2 linked regions of the Astyanax mexicanus genome follow. The protein of the gene in region 1 interacts with the protein of each later gene in a pairwise test. Links are inferred from orthologs where the notes say so. Each region holds a gene or a part of one and is shown in the gene's direction. Other genes may lie near its edges. The genes, in order: mapk8ip3 and ldlrap1b.

Region 1 (8,662 bases):
TTCTGTAAAAAGTTGTATTTTAAAATTTATAACCGTATCACGCATCCAACCTTTTCTTGTTCAGCCCCTCAGCCGAAAGCAGTTGAAGAAGTGAAGGTGCCTGTTACACCTCAACCAACACCTGTAAAGGAGGACCCTCCGGCTGCACCCACAGCAACCCCCACAGCCACCCCAGATGCTAAGCTTTCACCACATCCATCAGAGAAGGACCACGAGCCACGCCTTGCACCGGTTCCTCGCTCGCACAACAGAGTGCTGAACCCCCCTGGTGGAAAATCCAGCGTGGTCTTCTACTGACCAGTGCCACTTATCTCTCGCTTCCCCACTCACTCCGTTCTCTCTTACTAACACTGCTAACTATGCTTCTTTCTTACTTTGCTCGTACGTTTCTTAGTTTGTCCAGTCTTCTTTTTTGTTGTTTTGTTTCTTTATATTTTCTTACAGTGGCTTCTTTCTCTCATTCCTTAACTCTTGCACTTTCTAACCCATTCCTATACACTCATTCTGCTTTTTTTTTTTGTTTGTTTTTGTATGTTCATATAGGAGGGTTTGAGTGATCGGTTTCTGCCTCAATCCAATGGTTGACTCAGTCAAATGGTTCATTTTGATCCAGTCAGGATCAGCTGAGTGTGTGTGCTGATTGTGAAGATGCTCTCTGACTTTGATAATGTATAGAAATACAATCATACTCTCATGATTTATGATTACGACGTAACTGATTGGCGTCTGTGTATCGTTCAACTGGAACCACTGTCTGTCTGTTTCCACTGTGGGAAACTCACTTGTGTTAATGCAGTGGTACCTGACCCTCTGTCTTGGAGGTCCTACTGGTCTGCCTGGTTTTTAGCACTTTTAAACCCCCGTTACCAACTGCCGTTGTCATACATGCATCCAGAGTGATCTGATTGCAAATGGTTGATTAAATGCATAGGTGTTTAAACCTGGGGTTTTAAATGCATCTCTTTTGAGCACTTTTGATTGGATTTCTTACATACTTTTCATTAAAGGAGACTGGGTGGTTACTGTAAGTCATCTATTAGTGTGGTTTGAGTCCTCAGCACGCAAGTATCGTCATTTTCCATTTCATTGTTATTGTAGCATGCTCAGCTAACCCTTGCGGGGGGTGGACGGATGGCAGTATTACGGTTATTCTTTATGGTTTGTCAGTGACCTGGTTAATGTGGGCACATCACGACCCTTTGGTGTTAATACTACAACAATAATGTGGTCTTCTGTGTCTCTGACAACATCCGTATGTGTTTTGAGTGACCAGATTGCGGTAAAAATGTAATCCTTGAGACATTACATTACTGGCCATTTATAACATTTATGATTGGATCACCCAGGATGCATGTTTATGCCAGGTGTGAATGGGGGTTTTGCACACCTGATTTCATTCAGAAAAAAGGGCTTGTAATAAGTGCACTGCAGTAGGTTCTCAGGACTGGGTCTGGGGCAGTTTGTTCTAACATACCTCTGAAACTTTGGTGAGCGTTCTTTTTCGCTCATCGTGACTTGCAGCCATGCTGGAAGCAGCTCCTATTGATCTTGTGACTTGTTCTCTTTCTGCCTTTCTGTTAAGTGATTGATTGATTGTAATGCCACTGGGTTCTCAGGGAGAATAGGGATTCGAGGACCTGGTGGAGGACCTGATGGGAGACCTGGTGACAATGTTTTTAGATGTAAGACAATGTACTTAAGAACACACACTGTTCAGGGAAATGCAGGCAAAAGCAAAGGTGTCAACATACTGAAACGAATCCACTCCCATGTATAGTAGGTTTTCCATGAATACACTAAACCAAAGCACATAAACAAACAATTATAAAGAGGTCATCAATACAACTGAAGTACTGTCAAGTGTATGGTGACCCTCTACAATGCATATAGTGCTTTATATGAATATACTACAGTGTTCTTACTGACATCTAACTGCCATAGCTTTAAAAAGGTTAAAAACAAAAAACGTTTTTTTTATTTCGCCCCAATGATTGTGATCTGAAGCTGCCATTGGTTCTTTACATTGTTTTATGGTTTCATGGTAAATGGACCATTAGGCAGTTACCATTCTGGAGCTACAAAGATTTTGATGCTGTTAATACAAAACATTCTAATAATAGGAAGCAATAGGCAATACTAAAATATCTGCCCATTGTCTTTTAACTATAAATGTGCTTAAGTCAGTGGCTTGGAAGATGCTGACTGTGGCCTGAGGATCATGACCTTTAATCTCTGGTCATGCTGCTTTGCCATCAGTGTCTAATTTCACATTATTGAAGGAGGCATGTGACCATTATGATGTCGGTAGCACTGCAAGTCATTGGTGAATTCCTAGTGATTAGGTGGGGTAAAAATGCATGATACAAAAGTTTGTGTGCTACAGTTGTCAGATAGAGGTTAGTCTAAATACTGAAGTATTCCTTAACAAATTCAAGTGTAAATCTGTTTGACTATCTTTTATTTTTATTTTTTTGTTTAATTAATGTTGTATTTGTACAGTCATTAAATCTCATGGTTTTCAGGCAGAGGTGTCCATCATAAGTCCTAGAGGTGCTAGTGTCTAGCACTGCATGTAACTTGACCCACCTACTAAACTTAGTAATGAATTGCTGTAAATGAATTAAATCAAATGTGTTTAAGCAAAAACTGTCAAACCCTGTACCCCTAGGACTAAAGATGGGCCCTCCTGATATTAGGACATAAATCCCTGTGAATACCAAATGCACACAAAAAGTAGAAGCTCTGGGAGTCCTGTTTTGTACCGAATGCCAAAGTGTACTAAGTTAGTTTTCGGTTATTGTATGAAAAACATTTCATTTGATTTGTTTTTCTACCTTCACTTTAGCCTGTCATTATAAAGCACAGCAGCATTGGGAAGGCCCAGCTTGTAACACATTGGTGTGAAAAGTGTTTTTTCTCACATACTGCTGTCTGCCCTGCCCAAAGTGCCAGTGTGGTATTGAGGCAATGTCACAAACGTCTGTAATAAACATCTATTTTGATGATTCATACGCTACAGCCTACTGCATTGTTTCTTTCTGCTTAGCTCATATGTGTTTGCGGTTACTCATTCAAGGAGTAAACAGATTAAAAAATAATAATAATGTTTGAGACTTCGCAATCAATTATTAATTTTATTTACCTCTGTTTATAATAGATACGTTTGAATGTGTTTTGCCTAGGTAATTTTCTCATTTGATTTTTACAGAAATGATAACATTGTTCATTCAACCAAATGAGAGGAGACTTAAGCAGGAAATACCACAGATATATATGTAATCGATATACAGTCCTGTAAAAAAAATATATAGAACATTTTGTAAAAACCTTTGTCTATTTTAATTAAAACAATTAATCATGTTTACTTTTAAACATTGAGAAATGGTGGTCATTTGCACCGATCAAGCATATAATTGACAATGCCCTTGTTTTCCCAAATAATTTATGCATTTTTATAATGACAGACTGTTGTCGTTCTGTTGTATTTCATGTTATTACCCTCCTTTCACCATGTTCTTCAAGGGTTTTAAAAATATCCAGACAAGTGCACTGGGCCTAGCATTTTGTAGACGGAAACCATTTAGGGAACGCTATGCTAATTAGTGTTGCACACTGCAAAGCAACATCATGGCAACCACATGACAACAGCCTGGCAGAATAAGGAATAGGATTTAATAAAACTGCAGCAAAAAATTCTTCAAATAACTTTTCAAAATAGTAAGAGCAGAGTTGCCTGGTTTGCAGTTTTTCCACCAAACTGGGCTTGTCACAGGTGAAAATTGTCAGGGGTGGTGGTGTGCGTTTTTTTGGGCTACTTTTAAAAATTATCATGGCCGCCAAAAAAAAAAAAAAGTTGGTGTTGCCTTATATCTTATGTCATTGGAAGAATCAGGAGAACATAAGGGAGGACAGTGTAAAAGAGAGACAGAAATAACCAGGCGATGAAAACCATATTGAAGAGGAAAGAAGAGAGTTCAGGAGGGGCAAGAACAAAAATAATTTAAAAATGTCATTTTTTTTTGTTTTTGCTAATTGTTACTATGAAATGTTCTTGACTGGGATATAAAACGTATAAATGAACTAATAAAACACTCATGTTACAATATTATTAATGAATTCATGATAAATAGCAATACTGATACTAAATCCCTTATAAACAAAATACTAAGTTGTACACTCAGTTGTTTTGCCATTTGCTTCAAACGTGTGACAGATATATATTTTGGGCTAATTTAAGCTTCTGAAGGGCGGGTTTTAGACCTACATTGGGCTGGATACATTTGTCGGACCTGGCAACCCTGATTTAGAAAAACGCATACAAGTTTTTTCCGGATGGGAATAAAATCACAGAGGACCCCCTGATTTTATTCCCCCCTCCCCCATAAAAGAGAAAATTACCCCAGGACCCCCTGAGAAACTCATCCCGTCAGTATAGAGCTTTACGTTGGTACATCAAAATATAATGACTTAGTATATCAAAATAATGACTTAGCCTCTTAATATAACAACACAGTATCTCAAAATAACAAAATAGGATCTCAAAATAATGAAATAGTAAAAAATGACTATTCTAAATTACTGGGATGGGTTTCCATGCTCTCTCTCTCTCTCTCTCTCTCTCTCTCTGTCTGCTATTTTGATCATATTTCTCTCAATATCCCCCTTTTCCTCTCCCGAAGGGATGCCATTCTCTGCCTGCCCTGCTGTGGGAGGAACAATGTGATGATGACGCCACCGCACGAGCTGGCTCGCTGCAGACGCCGTGACGTAACCCCCGAACGGTCAGGTGACTCCTCCCCTCCATGCAGCGGTATTTGTTTTTATTCCGCACTTGTTTTCAGACAAGCCCCGCCCTCTTCTTGTTACTCGGGATTCTCAAACAGGACCTCAGCGAAGATTCTCACGAGCGTTATGCAAATAGAGCACGACCTGCTGACCAATCCTAGCGCTGTTGGTGCTGCTTGCGAGCTTGCACCATTGGCCAATCAATCCCAGCAGATTGAATATATTAACCAATCGTAGCTGTGGAGGGCGGGGCGTGTCTGAATAGAGGTGGGAAATGAAATAAACGCACCCACACTGTAGCCTGGCTGGGCGATCTCTGAGATTCCCTACCCACCCAGCCGAGAGGAGGAGGAGGACAGCAGCAGCAGCCGCCCCCCGCCGCAACATCATCCACCGGGCTGGGGTCTGTAGTTAACCTAGCTAGGTTGGTTATTTAAATGTCAAAAAAGCTGAATTTGCCAGTATGTTGTAGGAGAAATGATTGCGCCACGTCGTGGTGATGGGGGCAGCTACTCCAGCATAATCCAGTGTATGTAAGCTATTTATTACCATATTATTTATTTATTTTCTTTTTTTTATCCTCCATTGATTTTTTTCGCCCAGTAATGGCTGGGCTCCCGGGCTGCGGCGGCTCAGCAGCAGGTGCATCGCGGGCGGTGATGTGATGGATTCCGGCCGAGTGGGAACGGGAGCGCCGGTGACTAGTCCAGCCTCACCCGATACGGACCTAACGGAGGATTAGCTGGGTGTGAAGAAGGGGAAAGATCGGGATTTTAAGGCCGTGCTGTGGCGCAGGGAGTGGGGGGGGAGAAAGGAGAGAGGCTAGCTTAGCTCTCGGCTCCTCTCCCATCATCATCACATTCACATCTACCTAACGTTCAGCCAACTAACTAGCTAACCCAGCTACCGCTTGTCTGAATGAGGCTGCTGGGCACCCCTGGAGACACGTGGGGGCACGTCCAACTGATGACACCCCTTTAAAATATCTCTAGCTAACTACACAGTGAGCTAACCAGCTAGCTCCTGAAACCAAGCCCCCCTGTTTTATTTGGATGACTCAGAGAACCGCTAGTTAGCTCCCACAGCGCCTCCATTACTTTGGCCAGCATTTTCTTTTTGTGATTTTCGGTGGAAATCTCCACCACCGCACCTCCAGGCGAGATGATGGAGCTCCAGCTGGACGAGGTCGTCTACCAGGACGACTACGGCTCAGTGTCCGTCATGTCCGAGCGCGTCTCGGGCCTGGCCAACAGCATCTACCGCGAGTTCGAGCGACTCATCCGGAGCTACGACGAGGAGGTGGTGAAGGAGCTCATGCCGCTGGTGGTCAACGTGCTGGAGAACCTGGACGCCGTGCTCACTGAGAACCAGGAGCACGAGGTGGAGCTCGAGCTGCTCAAGGAGGACAACGAGCAGCTCATCACGCAGTACGAGCGCGAGAAGGCGCTACGCAAGCAGGCCGAGGAGGTGAGTCAATTAACGTCAATTAACGTAAAGCTAGAGTTAGTTGACGTAAACGTGATTGACGTATAGTGCACGGCGTCCAGAGGCTGTTTTATAACAGTTTTATAGAGTTAAATGTTTTAAACTAGGAATCATTTTTAGGGCTATAATGAAGTATTAAGTTATCTCCGACAATATTTCGGTTGTTGTAAACATAACTTCTGTTAATAGTGTTTTAATGCTGCTGTGAAGTGTTATAACACAATATAGCACAAATATTGCCACATAGGGTCACCTTCTCTCAGATTTCCCTCCCTTTTTGACACTGTCAGGCAGCTTAATGCCATTTATAAGTATTACAAAGTCAATGTTCTGAGATTGGCAATCATTTCAGCAATATAATGTAATAATCCTTTATTCTATTATGAAGTCAAATTTATAGAACTAGGAATCGAGGATATAATTAAGTATTAAGTTATTTCAGTTGTAAACACAATTTCTGTTGAAAGTGTTGATTTTACTGCTGTTGTGAAGTGTTATAACACAATATATCACAACTATTGTTATCTCAGATTGTATGCCATTTATAATCTTATATGAAGTGTTATAAAGTCAGTGTTATGACACTGGCAATCATTTCAGCAATATTATGAGGTTTAAACTAGTTATCCCCATCAATGTCACACCGCTAAATGTCTGAGCTGTTATAAAACGTGGTTAACAAATTAGTGCTTAATTTTTTCTTGTTGTTATTAGGTGTTATGACACATTTTTGTAAGCCTTCATTCCCTCACACACATACAGTAAGCTGTATTGCCACATAGGGTCTTTTTGACAGTTTTGACTGTCTTTTTGACAGTGTCAGACAGTTTTTTGCCATCTATAATCTGTTATGAAGTGTTATGAAGGTACATTTATGACTTTATGAATCATTTCAAGGCTAAAAGGAAGTAAACATAAGGTCTGTTGGAAGTGTGGTTGATTTTAGGGCTGTTGAGTGTTACAACACTTTCATATTTACATTGACATCCTAATTGTCATTGGGAATCATTTCAGCAACAATTATGAGTTTTACAGTGCTAAACATCTGACTTGTTATAAAATGTGGTAAACAAATGAGTGATCACTTTTATGGCTGTCATGAAGTGTTATAACACAACTCTCCCACAATTCTAACCTATTATGATGTATAATCAACTTTATGACATTAGGCATTATTTCAGGACTGTTATGAAGTACCATTACCAAAGGTATGACATTGGTAAACACACATTGCCTGTAATGAAGTGTTGTAAATTAACTAGTCACCATAGTAACACTTTTAGAGCTGTTTTAAACACAATTAACAAATATTTTGCTTACCCTTATTCTAACAGACACTGCATTTACAGAATAGGGCTGCATGATATTGGAAAGATATATTTTTAATATTTTATTGTTCTTTAATATATATTGCAATATTTAAAAATGCTGATTTTTTTTATGGAAGGTGTGGACGTCTAACACATTTGACAAATATTGTTACATTCACTTGGCTTTGCCCCCTTTTTGACAGTGTCAAACAGACTTATGAAATTCAAAATCTGTTTTGAAGAGTTATCAAGATATTTCATTTTTTGGATAGTTTTAAAGTATTGTCAATAGATTAGCAACCCTCTCAGAGGTGCTGTGACACATTGTGAACATTGTAGCCGCAGTATCTGCTCATCCTCATGCCCACAAACACACATAGGTCACGTTCACTCTGGCTTTGAGGAAGTTGAGGTCAGAAAGCTGAAGTGCTTTTCGAACTATATTTGAGCTCTTTAAAAATGTCATGAACTTTACTAATTCAAATTTGTACATACTGATAGCTATATAAGGTCACATTCATTCTGTATTACATACATAACTATATCATTCTTGTTGCAAAGTGTCTAGTGTCAACAACATCCTGAGAGTAATAATGAAGAGTCATAAATGCTGTTTGCACAATGTTTTTTGTTTGTCTTTATTTATACATAGTAATGTTTATTCACTCATTCAGGGGGTTAGTAGATTGGAGGCATTCCCAACAAATGACACTTTACAATCCCAATTGTTTTAGGTGGCTTTCTTTTAGGTAGTGGAGCTTAATAAGCAGGTCTGGTTCTGAACTGTGTAAAACAGACAACAACCGTATAAAACAGACAACTATGTACAGTACCAGTCAAAGGTTTGGACACACTTCTTATTCCATGTTTTTATTTATTTTTTTCATTGTAAATGAATACTGAAGTCATCCCGACTATGAGGGAACACATAAGGATTCATGTAGGAAACATAAAAGTGTTAAACAAACCAAAATATTAATTTAGTATTTAGGTGGGCTCTTATCTGGGCGGGTAACTTTGATGTAACTGCACTTGAGAATACTTTCAAAGTTCTTTAATGTTTTTGATTAACTGACCTTCAT
Region 2 (9,345 bases), on another chromosome or scaffold:
GACCTCAATCCAGAGACTAGTTTGAGAATGTGAAGAGTATCCCTATTTCTCTGCATTTTACACACACACATACACACAACACACACTTACACACACTCCTGCTTTATCTCTCTGCTTTGCTTTCTTCAGTAAAACACAATTACTACAGAGCACGCTCAGAAAGCTGCTGAGGCCTGGGGCTGAACCCGCCCTCGCGCTGTGGGTTTAGGTGGAGAGGAGTAATAAGAGAAGAGAATCTGCTGAAAGTCCTGATCCTCGGCTCTGTTTATTATGTACAGCAGGCTGTAGAAACACATGAATAAATGGCTGCTGCACTTCTGAGAAATAAGGCTTTACGTCCACCAGCTGGAATAATGCACACAATTAACCTACTAAACCCGGCAGGCAGGACTGTGAAGAGACCTTCTTCAGACAGTCTCATCCTCTAACTCTCACTCTGAGTTGAGTTGAAAGGATTCACAATTGGTGTTGAGGTAAAAGACTATGATAGAGAGATTGTTGGTTCAAATCCTGGTCATGCAGCTTGCCATCAGCTGCCGGAGCCCTGAGAGAGCACAATTGGATCCTTGCTCTATCTGGGTGGGTAAATAGATGGTGCTCTTTCCCTCCGTCACTCTAAGGGTGATGTTGATCAGCACAAGCCTGCGTCTGTGAGCTGATGTATCAGAACAGAGTTGCAGCGCTTACCTCCGAGTATGCTGTGATGCTACTTGGTAATACTAAAGCAGCAGCAGTTCAAAAAGAGGCAGAGTCTGACTTCACATGTGTCGGAGGAGGCGTGTGCTAGTCCTCACCCTCCTTGTGTTGTGGCATCACCAGAGATGGGGGATATACAGCTCAGTTAAAATGGCGTAAGTAAATTGGGAGGAAAAATTGGAGGTGTAAGAAATATTAGTAAGGAAAAGAACTAGTACAGAAATGGTACTGAAATGAAAAGAATGGGGTTTAGGTGGAAGGCTTGACATTATAATGGAAGGATAGATGACCTTAAAAAATGGAAAGGCTAGTATTGATGTTAAAGTGGCTTGACTGGTGTTGGGATGGAAAGAATGTTGATAAGATTGCAAGAACGGCACCAAGAACAAGAGTCTGGTATTGAGATGGAAATATTGGCATTAAAACATAAAGACTGTTGTAAAAGGTTGACTGAGCGTGCTCTCTCTCTTTTTCTCTGATTGAATAAAACCTGGAATCGGTTTATCCGCTCTGAAAGCATCACACCCGCCCAGTTTAAAATGATTCTTCCACATTCTCGGTGCAATTACTCATTCTCACCAGAGAGGGCACTAAATCCCCCAAATCCCAAAACTTACAGACATCAAGATGGAACAGCTAGCTAATGTTGAGCTGGCATTTAAAATATTTAATTGATATTATTTAAACATTTAAGCAAAAATAAGAAAAATCCTGAGTCTGCTCTGATAAAAGCATCTGTTTCTGAGCCAGCTCTATCTCGAACCTCTATCTTTGTTAGGGGTCCAAGCACCAAAACTGCTCGGATCCTCCTATTTCCACTATAGTGCCCTGCAGGCAATGGAAACCAACCTCAGGATCCTGAAGCTGAGCTGAGGAACCGTCTTCAGTGGCCGACTTTTAAAGGCATTATATGGATTAAAACGAGAGCAGCCCGAGACAATTAAATATGAATGACCATGAGCCGAGGGGCAGGACTGGACCTGCTGTGAGAATCGCAGTGGATGAGGCTGGACCACAGACATACTGACAGATGTTTGGGCCTCAAAACCATCTAACCCTGGTGTGAGGCCTACACTGCCAGCACGAGGTCATATAACTGCCTGTGTTCACAGTATCAGAGCAGCTTTGATTAACATATGGAGGTATTAATAATTCAGGAGCGTGTGTGCCTCTCTTTATGCATCCCTTCCAAGAGTCTTGGAATGGTGGATTCTGAGATGTTTAATAATTACTGAAGGATTTATGAGTCTAAAGGCTGCATGGCCTGCTGCGTCTGGAACCTGTGTGCTCATGGTTTGTAGTGGACATGCTGACGGAAATGGAAGGAGCAGAATGGAAACACAGCCTTGCTCTTTGTTAGGCAGTTGGAGCCTCATTAGTATTCATTATGGAGATTCATAACTCTTTATTCTGAGCACTCCTTCCAATTTTACACTTCATGTTTGCTTCCTGGCCATAACCATAAGAATTCCACACAGCCATACCTTGCTTTCAGAGGTCTATTTTAAAATATAGTACTCTTAACATAAAGATATTTAAAGCAATGGTTTGGCAAAAAATATATATATATAACTGAAAGTTTTTTACACCTACCTTTTTCAATCCAGATGAAGCTTTATAAAATTTGGTCAGATCCAAAATAGCAGGTGTTAAAGGTATTGCAAACCACAGCCCAAAGCAAGAAAATTCTGTGTTCCAGCGCGTATGTCTGTGCATTGGAAAGCTGCTTTAACACACAATGCTGAAAAAATTGGAGCTGTGCATTTAAACACAGTGTTTTCAATGGGACATGCAGCACAGAATTACATATAGTAAACAGAGTCACACAACTGCGAGCAGTGAACGCAGCACACATGGTGCGTGTAAACAGTATGGAGCACACTCCTGTAACTAGTAAAATAAATGAATCCCTTAAACAAATTAAACCAGTTTCAGATTATTTCTGACCGAAACCACCTCTTTTGGTAGGACCTAACTTGCTCCTGCGCCAGACAGCTCAGTCCAATCAGAGGAGACAGTGTGGTGCGTTAATGTTTGTGCCTGTGTGAAACCAAACCAAACAGAGGGAAAAAAGCTCCAAGTAAACAAACTTATCAACTGATCCAGACCATAGAAACCAACTACAGGTGTGAAAACACTCTTAAATTTATCTTCTGAGGACTCTCCTCAGTACCGGACTTAGAGCCACTGGATTTGATAGGGATATCCCTGGTCATGACCTTCCTGAGAACTGAGAATTTCTGACTTTTGCTCAAACTGTGACTTTAATGCACACTTTTTATTTTCATCCATTTAAAGCTGAACCTCTTGAGCCTGGTGTAACTCTGGTGTTATGGGATCTATGTTTCTCTCTGTACTGAATGTCAGGCCTCTGTGCACTTCCACCGTCTCAGATTTATCTGCAGATGAGATTACGTGGATCTGTGTACACAGTGTGTATCTGGCTGCTGCTGACCCCAGAGTGTGGGCAGATCCTGCTGGGCTGAGAAATAGAAGACACAGTGCCCGCCACGTGCTGCGCTGATAATCCCCTTGGCATGTTTTGTGGTCTGGTTTTAAGCTCTGCGGTGGAACGGAAGTGTCCGGTGAAAATTTGACGTAATACACAGGAGGATACAGATCTCAGCTGTGAGTTCAAGCTTAAGCACACAATTATCCTGTATGTCTTTGTGGGCACCCTATCAAAAAATACAGCCACAGAGGAAAATCTATCTATCTGTCTGTCTGTCTGTCTGTCTGTCTGTCACTTTGTCTGTCTGTCTCTGTTAAAGCCGTGAGAATGCAACTGTGGAACAATGACAAAAAAAATTGGCTATCCCACCGTCTACAGTGCATAATATCATCAAAAGATTAAATTAATCTGGAGGGAAAATAGACAAGGCCAACACTCTGTATTGAATGCCAGTGATCTTTGGGTCCTCAGCTGGCATTGCATATAAAACAGGACTAGTGATTCAGGATGGGTACTGTCCTGATCCTGTATTATTTATTTAAATATCTGCCAATGCAAGTTAAACCTGTATCATTCAAAGAAGAAGCATTATGTCAACACCATCCAGAAACTGTGCCGTCTTCTCTGGACCAAAACTCATTTAAAACAGACTAAGGCAAAGAGATAAACGTTTTACATTTTTCACATCAATTTAATTGTGTTTTTCGGCTTAAATGAAAATATAGTTTATGACTAGTTTATAACTTTGATAGGTGGTTGTGACAGCGTTACAACAGTATGGATGTTGGTTGTACAGGCATTGCTAGGTAGTTGCTACAGTGGTGCTATGGCATAGCTGTTGGTTGCTAAGGTGTTACTATAGTATGGGTGTTGGATGGTTGGTAGCAAAGCTAGCAACTTATCAGTTTTAAAAAGAGAAAATTAAATAATTTGTTTCTGGTTTAAAGGCCATAAACCACAAACAGATTCACAGTGAGTCAGTTTTGGCTTTAAAGATGTTCTGAGAGGTTTCTCCTCTGGCTTTGTTGTGATGTTGAGAGATAAGATTGTATTAATTGAGAGAAGTATATTCATGATAAAAATGAATTCATAGTAGCATCAAAATGAATTATTGTAAGATCTAATAACACCTACAAGCAATACCATTTTAAATCTATTTCAAACGCTTGAAACCCGGGTTTTTGAGTGTAAGTATTCCATCCCTCCCCTCAACCTGATCTGAAATTTATTCCTGCTTTTTTTCTCTCATTCCACATGAGCAGTTTTCCAGGGAAACACAAAGGGAAACAGAGGACGGGCGTTTCTTGGAGAAAAGGCTTGGCTGCATGTCAATCAGCTCCAGCTTTAGAAGCTCATGCGGGAGCAGATTTTGGATAGGCCAGACAGTGAGTGGCAGGTTCTCCAAGTCACTTCTGATCAACCTACCAAAGACTGTTTAGATAAGCATTTGTCTCCCTTAGAGACAATCAATAAACCTGTGCAGGTTTCTGTGGGGGAGGAACAGCGAGAACACCAGGGCACGCCTCGGTATCTCCTGAGTTGATTCAGGCTTTATCTGAGGGTGAAAGAATCTGGTCCTCCAGCATTCCTGACCAATGAGAAGAGCTGGAGTGTGCATGCCAGTGTCAAAACAGCCAAATGCGTAATCAACCATTGAGCAACAAATGGTAAACTAGCTACACTATACTAAATGTCCAAAAGTATCAATATCCAGTCATTTAAAATGTTACATTTAGATTAATCTGGTCCTAGAACAGTTCTTTCTTTGCTTTAGTCTGTTTTAAATGAGCTTTGGTTCAGAGAAGATGGTGCAGTTTCTGGATGGTGTTGATATAATTAATGTGCATTTGTAGTTCTTTTACATTATTAAAACATTCCCTTGATTATATGATCTGTTAATTTTATTGTAATAAATCATTACTTTAATTTAATAAACTAAAACTGTTCCATTCATTTCAAGTATTTCCTCAATTTAACAATCCCTTTCTTCAGTTTGGACGTTTATTAAACTGTGGGCACGTTTTAAGTCTGTAAATATTAATGTTTTACCTACTGATCATTTGGGTCTTTGTGTTTTATATCAGCTCTAACGTGGGGCGGTAATGTATTCCGCTGAAGCCCCGCCCACACGCCGGCGCCGACACGTCACGACGCGGCGCGATTGGTCTCATTTGCATATTTGGCCCTGCCCACCACCGGCGAGCGCGCTAATCCGTCCAGGCTGGATTCTCTCCGGGCGGAAAGCAGGGGAGGAGGGAGCGGGGCGGCCAGCGGCCAGATACAGTGATAAATAAATAAATAAAAAGTTTTCTCTCGCGCGGACCGTCGAGTTCACCGCTTTGAGAGCGCGGAGGAGGAAGCCGGGGGTCCGCGGGCTCTGTCCCCCTCCTCATACCCAACTATGGACGCTTTAAAATCGGCGGGCAGGGCGATCATCCGGAGCCCCAGCCTGGCCAAGCAGAGCTGGACCTCGGGAAAACACAAAAGTGAGTTATCCCAGCTACATTTAAAACATGTCGCTGTAATGTAACGTTACGTTTTTACAGCGGGCTGTGCTGTTATAACGTGTTTATGTGTTAATGTTGTTGAGATAGTAGCGTTAGTAGCCGTGTTTTACTATGTAAGTTTGCTGTCAGCGGTTTAAAGCTACGTTAGTTACGTTACCGTCATGCAAACTTTACGTCAACTAGCTAATCAGTTAACGTAGCTAGTTAATTAACTTACTAACTGACAGGCGGTTTACACAGGAGTGTAAAGTTGTGTTTAGTAAACATAAACCGCTTTATTTGTACTTATCTGAGCGGAGCGTGTGTTTCAGAGCTAGCTAGGCTAATTTATTACAGTAGGATTAATAGTTACGTAGCTGTGCTGTTTAAGTTATGTCTCTTTAGAAGCTGAAAGGTAGGTTAGACTAAAGATAGCTAATAGCTTAGCTAACTAAGGCTAGTTTTGTTATTTAGAGTTAGCTGCATTAGTGCTCAGTTAGCATTTAAGCTAACTAACCTAGCTAACGGATATAAAACTGAGATTTAAAAAAAAGATACTTTAACGGTTTGAAATGCTGTGTTTGGTTCCTTTGCTGTTATATTTATTTGCTTAAATTAGTGTAAAATAGTGCTAATATGCTGCTAAGGACGATATAATTTTGCATTTCATTGCTTGATGATTTTACTACACTGTAATTACATTTTACAGTTTACTTTTCTTGTGGATAACATGTTAAAGCAGGACTACAGCGAGAAATGAACTTTCATGGTGTAGTGAAACATGATAATAAATATAAACTTTTGTAGAATAGAACACTTACATTCGTCCCCAGCATTCTCAAATACAGAGCTTTTCGTCTATGTTCCCAACAGGCTTAAGACTACAGTGTTAGAAATAGGGGCATAGTGATGCCTACTCAAAGAAATCACAATTTTTACCTCATTAACAAACTTAAAGTAGCTCCACACTTCATTGGAGGAATTCTGAGGGTCCTGACATTTAAAACAAAGCACTAGTTTACTAAAACATTGTTTATACATACAGTACCTTCAGGTAGTTTTCTGGGAGCCAGAATCTTGAAATTAAGTCAATGTAAGTCGACTGCTGAGCACAAACAAAGAGCTAGGGAAGAAAATAGTGTTTTAACTCTAGTGATAGGGTTACTCTATGCCTCTAGTATTTTAAGCCTGTTGGGAGCATCAGCTAAAAGCACTGTATTTCGGCAAGCTGTGAGTAAACAGAAATGAACTATTTTACAAAAGGTTATATTTGTTATCATGTTTCACTACACCCCAAATTTATTTCACACTAGAGTTCTGCTTTAACATGTTATACACAAGATAAGTAAACTGTGTGAAGTGTAGTAAAATCATCACTAATGAAGGTTTTATTCAAAGATGCAAAATTAGCTCATCTTTTGCAGCATATCACCAATATTTGACAATATTTTTAGCAGATAACAGCAACAGCAAGGACCCAAAGACAGCCAGTGTTTTAAAAATATCACCTATGAAAGTATTTGTTAAAATAAACCTCATAATAACATAATAACAGTTTTATAACCTAGGTTAGTTGGATATGTTAGGATAGCTTACATGCTAACTGAGCTCTAATGCAGCTAATGCTTATCCACTGGCTTAGCTAGGTTATAAAACTGTAGGTTTATTTTAACAGATACTTTGTAAAATTTTCACACAATACAAAGAACAACTCAGTTAGAATTTTGTGTAACTGTGATGCGGTCCTTTTTTTGGGTTGAGCCATGTATCGTCATCTCTGGCTCTCCTCTCTCACTTATTATATACATGTACAGTGACCAGTAGCTCATATTAGACTGGTAAATGAATGTTTTAGAGCTTCTCAGTATGTTACATTTTAGCCCTGAGTGTCACAATGTCACTCTCAATACTGCCCAAGCTGATCTTCAAGGGGCTTCATGGAAAGATCATGTTGGAGTGCACATCGGGGGGAGTCTTGAAGGAAGATATGCAGTGAGGACCCAAGCCTGTGCTTGACATTACAGCTCTATGCAAGTCCGTGACCGAAGCACACAGCATTTCTTGGCAACCCAGTGTTGCTAGGCAATGCTTTTTTGGCCTTCGTCGTAGGACAAGATTACATGCCCTCATTCACCTTCATCCAGACATGCTTAGACGTTATTATATATGTGCATATACATGGTATATTTGGCTGCCGTATGAAGAATGGTGTCGGAGACCATCAAACATGCAGTAATGTGTTCAGTACAGCACAGAAGCGGCAGCCGGCTTTTAAAAAACACTGTTCCTGCTACCCCACAGGATTCAGCTGAAGCTTTTGATCTCCAGCTCAGCGTGTGAGCGCTCCAGACAGCGCTGCGTGGCCAGTCAGCTGGTCAGCTTGGTTTAGTCACACTGCAGCCATGTGGTTTTCACAAAGGGAAGCTTAGCTGCTCACTGACCCCTTTTGTTTGACTTGGTTAGGCTCACTGCCACTCTTAGACACGTATTGAACGCTCTGGTTGCCTGTGGCAGCACGCGCCACGTTTGGGTGCCATCAGCTGTTTTGTTTACTCACGCCTGCGTTTGGCTCACGGAGGACAGCAGGCTTTTGACAGGATGGCCGTCTGTTCCAGAGCTCCATTTAGTTGAATAGGTGGAGGAATGTATGGAGAGAGGCCAGTTCCCGAGGCTCGTGCCAGCCTCGCTATAACTGTAGGACTAGATTGTGTAGATTTTGGCTATTGCCTCCAGTGATGTCAACATTTAGCAGTTAAGAAACACTTAGACCTAGACAATAATTTTTGATCAATACATATATTGCAATTCATTTTAAAAATGGTTTGATTTTTGAAACACATTTCTGATATTTAAGTTATTATTTACAGCATGTCACTGATGTCTGTTTATTACAGGCCAAGTAATGTGAACTGGTAACGTTTTTGGGTGCAGATAACCATTGTGTGCGTTCTTGGCAGTTTTTCTGGGGCTTTTATATTCAGACAATATTTCATATAAGATACCAAAATTAAAAAAAATGTGTATTGAGATATTAATTTTGGCCCTATCATCCAGCCCTATGAACAATGGGGTTTTAGGGCTCTGAGTGGTCCAGTGGGGTAAGCGCTGCCACTGTGATCAGGAGATTGCTGATTTGAATCCTATTTATGCAGCTTGCCATCAGCTTTTGAAGCCCCAAAGAAACACAATTGGCCTCACTCTCTCTGGATGGGTAGATGGCACTCTCCTCCCTCATCACTTCTAGGGTGATGTCGATCAGCACGAGGCATCTGTGAGCTGATTTATCAGAACCGAGTCGCTGTGCTTTCATCTGAGCGCGCTGTGATGCAACTTGGCCACTCGGCATCTTCACCCTCCTAGTGTTGGGGGCATCACTAGTATTGGGAGGAGTCCTAATGAGTAAGTTGTGTAGTTGGCCTTGTAAATTGGGGAGAAAATGGGATAAAAATTAGAATAAAAAAAGGTAGGGGGTGTATGTTGTTAACGCTGTTGCCTAAATACCAATGCGAGAGTCCCTTATCTGAAATATGTAAGCAGTATACAGGGTATGGCTTTGAATTATAATACAAGTTATACATTATAATGTTCTCGAACTTGGCTTGAGGACATTATCCCCAATTTTGGAACTATCTGGAGCACATTTATTTTTAGGAATGTATCAACATTATTCAGCACACTCATTCCTTGCAGGCAGCCTGTTCTGGCATGACT

Evidence for each region.
Region 2: the proteins of mapk8ip3 (region 1) and ldlrap1b interact in binary tests that used the Homo sapiens proteins (3 or more experiments, as listed by UniProt). The two-hybrid records come from large-scale screens. The link is inferred for Astyanax mexicanus from reciprocal best matches to the Homo sapiens genes MAPK8IP3 and LDLRAP1.

What each region holds. Positions count from the first base shown.
Region 1 is NC_064426.1:27,609,735-27,618,396, reverse strand, and holds the start of mapk8ip3 (C-Jun-amino-terminal kinase-interacting protein 3), read left to right. Parts: upstream 1-5,080; 5' UTR 5,081-5,209; exon of another isoform or gene 5,210-5,388; 5' UTR 5,389-5,946; coding exon 5,947-6,252; intron 6,253-8,662. Other genes in the region: jpt2 (jupiter microtubule associated homolog 2), read left to right, coding at 65-297.
Region 2 is NC_064414.1:4,339,568-4,348,912, forward strand, and holds the start of ldlrap1b (low density lipoprotein receptor adapter protein 1b), read left to right. Parts: upstream 1-5,370; 5' UTR 5,371-5,549; coding exon 5,550-5,634; intron 5,635-9,345. UniProt on the Homo sapiens protein: Adapter protein (clathrin-associated sorting protein (CLASP)) required for efficient endocytosis of the LDL receptor (LDLR) in polarized cells such as hepatocytes and lymphocytes, but not in non-polarized cells (fibroblasts).